Xenopus tropicalis: one gene and its partner. The protein of the gene in region 2 purifies or fractionates together with the protein of the main gene of each other region. This does not show direct contact. Links are inferred from orthologs where the notes say so. Each region holds a gene or a part of one and is shown on either strand. Other genes may lie near its edges.

What was found.
Region 1: the proteins of ptpn9 (region 2) and lztr1 purify together in Homo sapiens (affinity purification with mass spectrometry; 3 studies listed by BioGRID and IntAct, with this or other methods). This does not show direct contact. The link is inferred for Xenopus tropicalis from reciprocal best matches to the Homo sapiens genes PTPN9 and LZTR1.

The regions. Positions count from the first base shown.
Region 1 is NC_030677.2:166,685,570-166,689,391, forward strand, and holds part of lztr1 (leucine-zipper-like transcriptional regulator 1), read right to left. Parts: intron 2,770-3,822; coding exon 2,630-2,769; intron 2,430-2,629; coding exon 2,228-2,429; intron 1,736-2,227; coding exon 1,625-1,735; intron 1,460-1,624; coding exon 1,367-1,459; intron 1-1,366. UniProt on the Homo sapiens protein: Substrate-specific adapter of a BCR (BTB-CUL3-RBX1) E3 ubiquitin-protein ligase complex that mediates ubiquitination of Ras (K-Ras/KRAS, N-Ras/NRAS and H-Ras/HRAS).
Region 2 is NC_030679.2:93,340,407-93,344,995, forward strand, and holds the start of ptpn9 (tyrosine-protein phosphatase non-receptor type 9), read left to right. Parts: upstream 1-1,573; 5' UTR 1,574-1,615; coding exon 1,616-1,648; intron 1,649-2,090; coding exon 2,091-2,234; intron 2,235-3,443; coding exon 3,444-3,533; intron 3,534-4,289; coding exon 4,290-4,426; intron 4,427-4,589. UniProt on the Homo sapiens protein: Protein-tyrosine phosphatase that could participate in the transfer of hydrophobic ligands or in functions of the Golgi apparatus.

The DNA of each region.
Region 1 (3,822 bases), on a different chromosome or scaffold from region 2:
ATTTAGCTAAAGTCCTTATATTGAAATAGTCATATGGTATGCCATTAATTATGTTTGAAACATCAGACATATTATTGTCCAATACATTTTCAATAATTGCCTTTACTCATATGAAATAGACACAAGCCCAGCCATTAGCTGAACTTTCTGCAAGTGTTAAGGAGAAGTCCGCTGGAAGCATGGTACCATTAAAAGAAAATGTTTATAGATCTAATGCTATTTTTGTTTCATCATCTTGCAAGCTTATCATTTATGCTGGGATACGGTGTATATGAAACGGCAAAGTTCCAAACATTACATAGTGTAATTTTATGTAATGGCCTAGGGTGCTACAAGCTATGGGCTCTACAGACCTCTTTATAGGACACTGTCATCTGGCTGGGAAATAGCAAATAAATACCTATATATGGGCATGAATCATACAAGATGCCATTCATACTGAATCAGTGAGCATGCATGAATGAATTGTTTTTTTAAAGGAGAAGGAAAGGTAAAAACTATCTATGTAAACACAGCCATAAGCACTCAGAGAATGCTGCACTGAGTCCTCTATCAAAAGAAACATAGGAGTTCTTGTATCCTTTTTTTCTGTGCCAGAGTCTGTTCAGCTCTCTCCTGCTCCCCCCTCCCACAAGAATGCTAAGAACTCCCTCCACCCCTTAGGAATGTGTGATCTGAGCCAATCAGCAGGAAACTTTCTCATAGTCGTACAAACGGCGCATTTACAGGGGTCTTGGTGCAGGAGCGTGGCATTATGGGAAATTTTCTTTACAGAGCTTAGAGGTTTTTTTTTCCTATGATGCTTCTGATCATCTGAACAGGTGAAATATGGGGAGACTTAAGGGCACTATTGAGAGAACTGAAGGTATGCCTGTAGCTTGAGATTAGCCTTTCCTTCTCTTTTAAAGGAACAGTAATACCAAAAAATGAAAGTGTATAAAAGTAACTAAAATATAATGTGCTGCTGCCCTGCACTGGTAAAAGTTGTGTGTTTACTTCAGAAAGTCTACTATAATTTATATAAATAAGCTGATATGTAGCCATGGAGGCAGCCATTCTAAGGAGAAAAGGCACAGGCACATAGCAGATAACAGATAAAACACTATTATATTCTACAGAACTTATCTGTTATTTGCTATGTAACCTGTGCCTTTTCTCCTTTTTTCCAGCCTGAATGGCTGCCCCCATGGCTACACAGCAGCTTATTATATAACTTATAGTAGTGTTACTGTAGCAAATACACCAGTTTTACCAGTGCAGGGCAACAGTGCATTATATTTTTATTACTTTAAAGCTCTTTCATTTTTTTGGTGTTACTGTTCCTTTAAGAAGATCCATGTAGGGAGATCAAGGTGCAGGTACTCACTTCTCCGAGAATAAATTCAACATCACAGAACTGCTGATTCTCAAACAGTCTTCCGTAATCTTCATGTAAAGTGCACTTTGGGTAACAAGAGAACTAGGTGGGAATAAAAATGGATTAGAATGGATATTTTGCATGACTGTATTTTTTTTATTTTTAGCTTGTCCATTTCATATTCACTGACGTTAACCTCCCCAGTCCCATATAAGGCCTATAAGCATGAAAGCATAAATGATATACAGATATTATAAAAGTGTTTACCTGAAAGCGGTACATCTCTCCACTCCTGACATTATTGTCAACTGTCCCACCAAAGATGTACATGGCATCAGCAATAACAGCTGCAGCATGAAACAGACGTCCGCTAGGTAACTAAAATGCATTAAAACATTTTTTAGCATCTAGATGACATACTAACTTTTTATTGTGTTTAGCATGATAGAAATTAATAACTTTGTGACACATTTCTCTGCATTTCAACACTTATAGACATACACTAACATCATATATAACTATTATGAACACCATCATATCTACACTGAAGTATATGTTTGTCACAATGTCAGAGAGTGAAAAAGACGTAAAGCATATATCTCACTCCTCTTCTCTTACTCACCATATCTGCTTTTTTTCATTAAATCTAACAGCCAATTGTGTGCATTTTCTTTGCAGTGCTATATGCAAGCCACTGAATGGCTGAAGTGTATAAGGCAGCCATTTTGTCATGTTAGGGACAGAGTATACAACTGTAGCCTATCAATATAATGCTATAATATAATATATTATTATAGCATTATAAATATATATATAATTATATATATATATATAATATAATGTCACAAGAGTCCATGTACTGTACATCACCTCACTGTCTGGGCTGGCTTGGATCACCTCCCACGACTGAGAGTCCACATCATAACAATGCAGCTCATTAGGCAAGGTATTGTCTGCTGCACCTCCAAACACATAAAGATGACGGTCAAAAGCCACCATAGTGTGTCCATAACGTCTCTGGGGGGGTGGTGGTGACCCACGTAACAAATGCTCAGTTGGAATGCGTGTCCATCTGAAGGACAAAAATATAATCACGCATTTGTATTCATTATTGTCAGCTTTGATGATAAGTCATAAGCAAATCAAACACTACAGAATTACCTAGAGAGCCAATGTGAAGTTCAGTTTAAATTAGGACTTAGGGTTGAGATGGAAAATAAACAAGTGCGAAGTACTAACAAAAGACAAAACAAAACAAAAGCATTGCCTTACACTTTTTCTGAGAATTCAAACTGGAACAGGTTATTTGTGATCTTGGCCCCACTCTGCCCAGAAAAGACAAACATTTTGTCTCTGCACACAGCAACGGGAAAGTTGCAGCAAGATGGTGGGATTTCTCCACTTTGCTCAATCTGCAAAGAACAAAGCACATTTTAAATGCGTTCAGATAGATTTTTCTATACATTGATACTCTATCTTACTTTTCACAGACATTTTGTACCATAGGAGTGGTCAGATTTGTCAGCTTTTGGAATACCCTTCAGTCCAGTAACAGCAGTTAAATGTTTAATAGTGAAAAAGTATGCATTTATACATTTTATACTCATTTTTTGTAACATTTTTATTTAAATGAACATGCATGGTTTTAAATAGTGGTAGAGCAGAGCCCACATGGAGTCTCTAGCTAATTCGATCACATGCCTGCCATAGGCGGATAGTGATTTTTTTGTTCAGGAAGGCTAAAAATGTTAATATGCAATAACAATCACCACACTAGACTAAGGCCTCATACAGACAAATGTTTTTTACCTGTTTACCTGCACTGGATCTTTTTAGATAGTTTCATAAAAATCTATTACAGCTATGTAAAACTTTGCAAACAAATCTACAGCTCACATATAACATGTGAATATAAAGACAAGCTTTATATAAATGAATATCTATATGCTTGTTTTATTAATAAGTTATACTCCAAAACTTCTCCTGCTCTCTGCAATGCTTTCCCTCAGTCATTTCAGCTCCGTGTGGGCTAATTTTACACTAGGAAGGAAGACAGGGAAAAGAAACAGAGTATGACCGGGGACTAAGTAAGATTGAACTTGGCCTAAAGGTGGAGTATATTGAGGCTTGTTATTGCCGTACTCTTGCACCCCCTTCACATCTCAACCCTCCTTTCCGCACAGAGCCCTGCTAATGCCATGCTGATGTAAGATTTTAATCTGCAACCTTCCTCACATCCCTTGTACAGCATTATATTGCAGACAAGTTTAGGTAAATTAACAAAGGACTTATAAGCCTCCCCAAGCCTACATTAAAATCCATCTATTTTTCAGATAAAAAGAAAAAAAAAGTGTGGGTTAGTACAAAGGTTAAAGGAAAAGTAACACTAAACTTTTTTGAGTAAAAAAGCTATTCTACCCTGCACCAATAACTGACCTATCCTGCAAACCACAATTGATCGAGCC
Region 2 (4,589 bases):
AGGTCCATAACGAGGCTGGTGCAAGTCCTGCTTCCAGGAATGTTGCCCAGCTGCCAAAGTACCCCTGTCACAAGATCACAAGAATAAGAAGACATTTTCAATGCATTCAAAATTGGACCTTCTTGGGTACCCTGTGGAGAAAGCTTTGCAACAAAGTATTCACTCTACTATGAAGTTGATGAAAATCCTGCCATAGGCAACTCTTCATCTTTTTTTTAAAAAAAAAAGAGGCTATCTTTTTCTTTTCAGCAGCTCAGTGATTCTTTGTGCATAAAATAACTATGGATGCTTCCTTTAGAATATATTTAATTACAATGCATTTAATCAGATATAAACTCTGACTGAAAAACACATTTAAAAATTTAGCACAGGGATCCTCAACCTACGGCTCGCGGGCCAGATCCAGCCCCAAGTTAATTTACCCGGCCCCTGCTGCCTTTCTCACCCCTGGCTACTACCTGTCTGCAGAAGCAGTGGGGAGCAGGGAGCAGGAGGGCACAGCAGGGAGTCAGATGGCGCAGTGGGGGAGCAGGAAGCTGGAGGGCACAGCGGGGAGCCAGAGGGCACAGCGGGGGAGCAGGGAGCTGGAGGGCACAGCAGGGAGTCAGATGGCGCAGTGGGGGAGCAGGAAGCTGGAGGGCACAGCGGGGAGCCAGAGAGCACAGCGGGGGAGCAGGGAGCTGGAGGGCACAGCAGGGAGTCGGATGGCGCAGTGGGGAGTGGGGGAGCAGGGAGCCGGAGGGCGCAGTGGGGGGAGCAGGGAGCTGGAGGACGCAGCGGGAAGTGGGTGAACAGGGAGCTGGAGGATGCAGCAGGGAACTGGGAGCCGGAGGATGCAGTGGGGAGCAGGAAGCCAGAGGACACAGCGGGGAGCAGAGGAGCAGGGAGCTGGAGGACGCAGCGGGAAGTGGGTGAACAGGGAGCTGGAGGATGCAGCGGGGAACTGGGAGCCGGAGGACGCAGTGGGGAGCAGGAAGCCAGAGGACACAGCGGGGAGCAGAGGAGCAGGGAGCTGGAGGATGCAGCAGGGAGTGGGCCATAGTTTGAGGACGCAGGAGGCGTAGTTTGAGGACTACAGTCCGGCCCCCCCCAACAGTCTGAGGGACCATGAACTGGCCCCATGTTAAAAAAATTTGAGGACCCCTGATTTAGCACATGGACAAATTAACCATATGGGAAAGAGAGAAACTGCTTGAGCAAGGCAAAGCTAATAACTGCAGAGCATGGCCTCTTGCTAATATAGAGATCATCTATAAGACTTTCCATTTGGTGTCACTTTAAACCATGTTGTAATAATTATGCAAGCCACTAGAGGGTGCCTGTTACTCTCTTTTACAGCCTTACAGACTGCTTCTTTTCCTTTTACTGTCTGTGTTTTCACGTCTGTTTCCTTCTTCCCCACCCCACAGATATATTATCCCCTAAATGAGGCCCCAAACAATTTAGGATTTTTTTTTTTTTTTTTAAAGATCTGTTATACCCTGCCTGGCGTGACTTCCTCTTTGCTGAATCCGGGTACAGCAGACAAAAAAAGACGATTCACTAAAACATAGGCCTTGCAGGATCCTCTGTCTGGAGCAAGGCCTGGGAATTGTGGAAAAGGAAGGAAGCAAGCATGGCAGGGACTCTGACACAGGAGGAGGAGCAGGTAAAGCAGTCCCTGTGTGCGGGTGATTAGTCCTGCATATAGTGAGATGAAGAGCGACTTCTAGTCTTGTTTATTGTCACAATTATTCTGTATATGTAGTGCCATGAAATCAGGCATAAGACATAAGTGTTTATGTGAGTGTATATATGTATATATATATATATATAAATATATACACGTGTGTGTGTGTGTATACATACACGCATCTGGTCTTTTTTGTAGTATAAATATGAGTGTGTATGTGTGCACATATAAATTATAGAGCAACATTTCAGATAAACTGTTAATTTTTTCCCTCCTTAAAAATGTTTGCATTCCCCCTGTTTGCTTTTTTCATTATCTCCCTTTTAAGATCCCCTTTTCCTTCACTACCCTGTTCCCATAGGCCGATTTCTGTTTTACTTGTGTCTATTAATACCCATATGTCTCTGATTCCTCTTAGGCTACTAACAGGTTCCTGCAGGAGATGAATTTGTGGACAAGCTGCCACTCCGTGTCGCCTCTCTCATGGGACATCGCTGTTAAATTTCTGATGGCGAGAAAGTTTGATGTTGTGCGAGCAGTTGAACTCTTCCACTCATACAGAGTGAGATATGTGTGCAGATTAGCATTTCACAGTAACTGCCATCTTTCTATGTCCTTCATTCAAGCTTTTCCCTGTCTTCCAGTGGAGCAGCTCTCAGGCCCAGATTTGTGGCAAGGCCACAAAGGCCGGGGCCAGCTCTTTGCATGTAATGGGCCAGTTTGTAACACTGCCTGTTTAAGGGCCAGGTTATATTAAAATGATGATGTCATACTATTGAGGTCTTGGGGGCTCTTTAGAGGGCTATTAAAATCCGCAGGGCTTGTGGTAACCTTATGTTTTGCTTATTGTTTTTATCAGAATATATGTATTATATTCATAGTAATCAGGGCAAAATCTGCAAGCACAATTAAAACAAATTAGTGGTCCACTGAGAAACCTTTGTACAATAGGTATTTTCTTATCTTAGGGTCTAACAATGGCTTCATCTAGGGAAAGAGATGTAATATTTGCTTGTTTTGGAATACAACTCCCAACATCCTGCTGATAAATAAAAGGAGTAAGAGGGTACTAGAAGCTGTAGCTCAAGAGCACTTAGGACCCCCGTTTATAAGACAGTAACCCAAACACATCTAGATCTGAACTCCACAAGAGACTTAATTGCAGATTAAATCCTAGAAATGGGATGTAGCTGCACTTGCCCAACAATAATGTAGCTAAACAGACTGGTAAAGTGCTTGAATATTTTGGCATTTGACACAACTGAACTGACACACCTGCCTGCATTTTTATCTGACAAGATTAAGTTATTTCTCATTGATATACATTGATTGTTGGCTGTAGCTGCATAAAAAAAAGAAAGCATCTTATTGTATCTGATGAGATAACAGTACAGCAAACTGGATGAGATTCTGCAGCGTCCCACAAAATCTTGTGTTTGTGCACCCCTTAGCATTCTGCATTGCAATCCTGCCCATTGTACCTGTCTGTCATTATATAACTTCAAAATATCTGTTTAGAAAGCATATAGAAACGTAGAAGCATATAATTTAATTCTAGAAAAGAACCAGCTGATCCAGCTAGGCCAGCCAGCTATTTTTTCCCACAAATGTTTGAGTGGGCGGTACCCACAGCACCTACTATATATCAACATTACTATATATTTATCAACATTATATAATTATTATCTGTTATTATAAGTTCCTGGTCTCCTGTCTGTATCACCTTTATTTTCTGTCACTGTATAACATAAATGTTATGTTTGTGTTCCAGGAAACCCGACACAGAGAAGGGATAGTGCGGCTGAATCCTTTACAAGAGCCATTACTTTCTGAGTTGCTGAGTGGCAAGTTTACTGTGCTGGTGAGAGGTTAGGTGTCAGAAGGTTGTTCTATTTAATGCTTATAAAGTAATAACCAGTTGTTTGCATGTATATATTTATTTATATAGTGCTGCTTATGTACACAGCACTGTACAGCAGAACAATAAATTCATGGAACAAACAGAAATTAACTACAGAATACAGTTACATTAATGATTAGGAGCCAAGTATCAAAGAGACAGGAGGAAGAAGTTCCATAGAGCTTACAGTCTAAGGGATGACAAAAATACATGGACAAAGAACCTTTCACTGTAAAAAGCTAAGGATAATAGAACACACCAAGGAGTTTCTCAACTACCTAAAGGCAACTTATTCTATGCTCAGATGTTACAACTGGGGGTACTTTATTTCTTATAATACAGATGATTAACTGAGTCATGTGACACAACTTCGCTAAACACCACTTTTAATTGATGACATAACTAAGCACCATTTATTATTATATAATTTACAAGATGTTCAAGTTTCTTGTGTATTTTAATAACAAATAATCCTAGGCACAGGATGAGTGGAAGTGATATATGTAAGTGTCATATATATTTTACAGATGAACTCACATAAATGGCAGTCTTATAATTGTAGCAGGAAGCAGTGCTTCATTCCATCAAATTGAATCTATTGACAGCATACTGAACTAATCATTGGGAGGGCAGGGGTCATGGATTAAAGTCCTGGAATAATGAGCTTTAGGGATAGGTCAAAGTGCATGTGACTGGTCATCCACTGTTTTGTTCCAGAGTGTCAGAGCCCCAACTGGAGCCTCCATTGCAATCTTCACCGCTAAACTACACCATCCAGCCCGCAGAAACAGCAGGCAAGCACAACACACTGTACTTCAAGCTCTCTTTTATCTACTGGACAGAGCTGTGGAGAGGTGAGAGCCTAGAAACCTGAATGTGGTGTTTTGGGGTAGGTGTGTGTGCAGTGTCAGTACTGGAGCAGGAGGGAACTGGTAGATGAAGGGGAAAGTACATATTTCACAGACATTTAACCTGCAGCATATTGCTTCTTTGCACTCTTTACACTGATACTGGGAT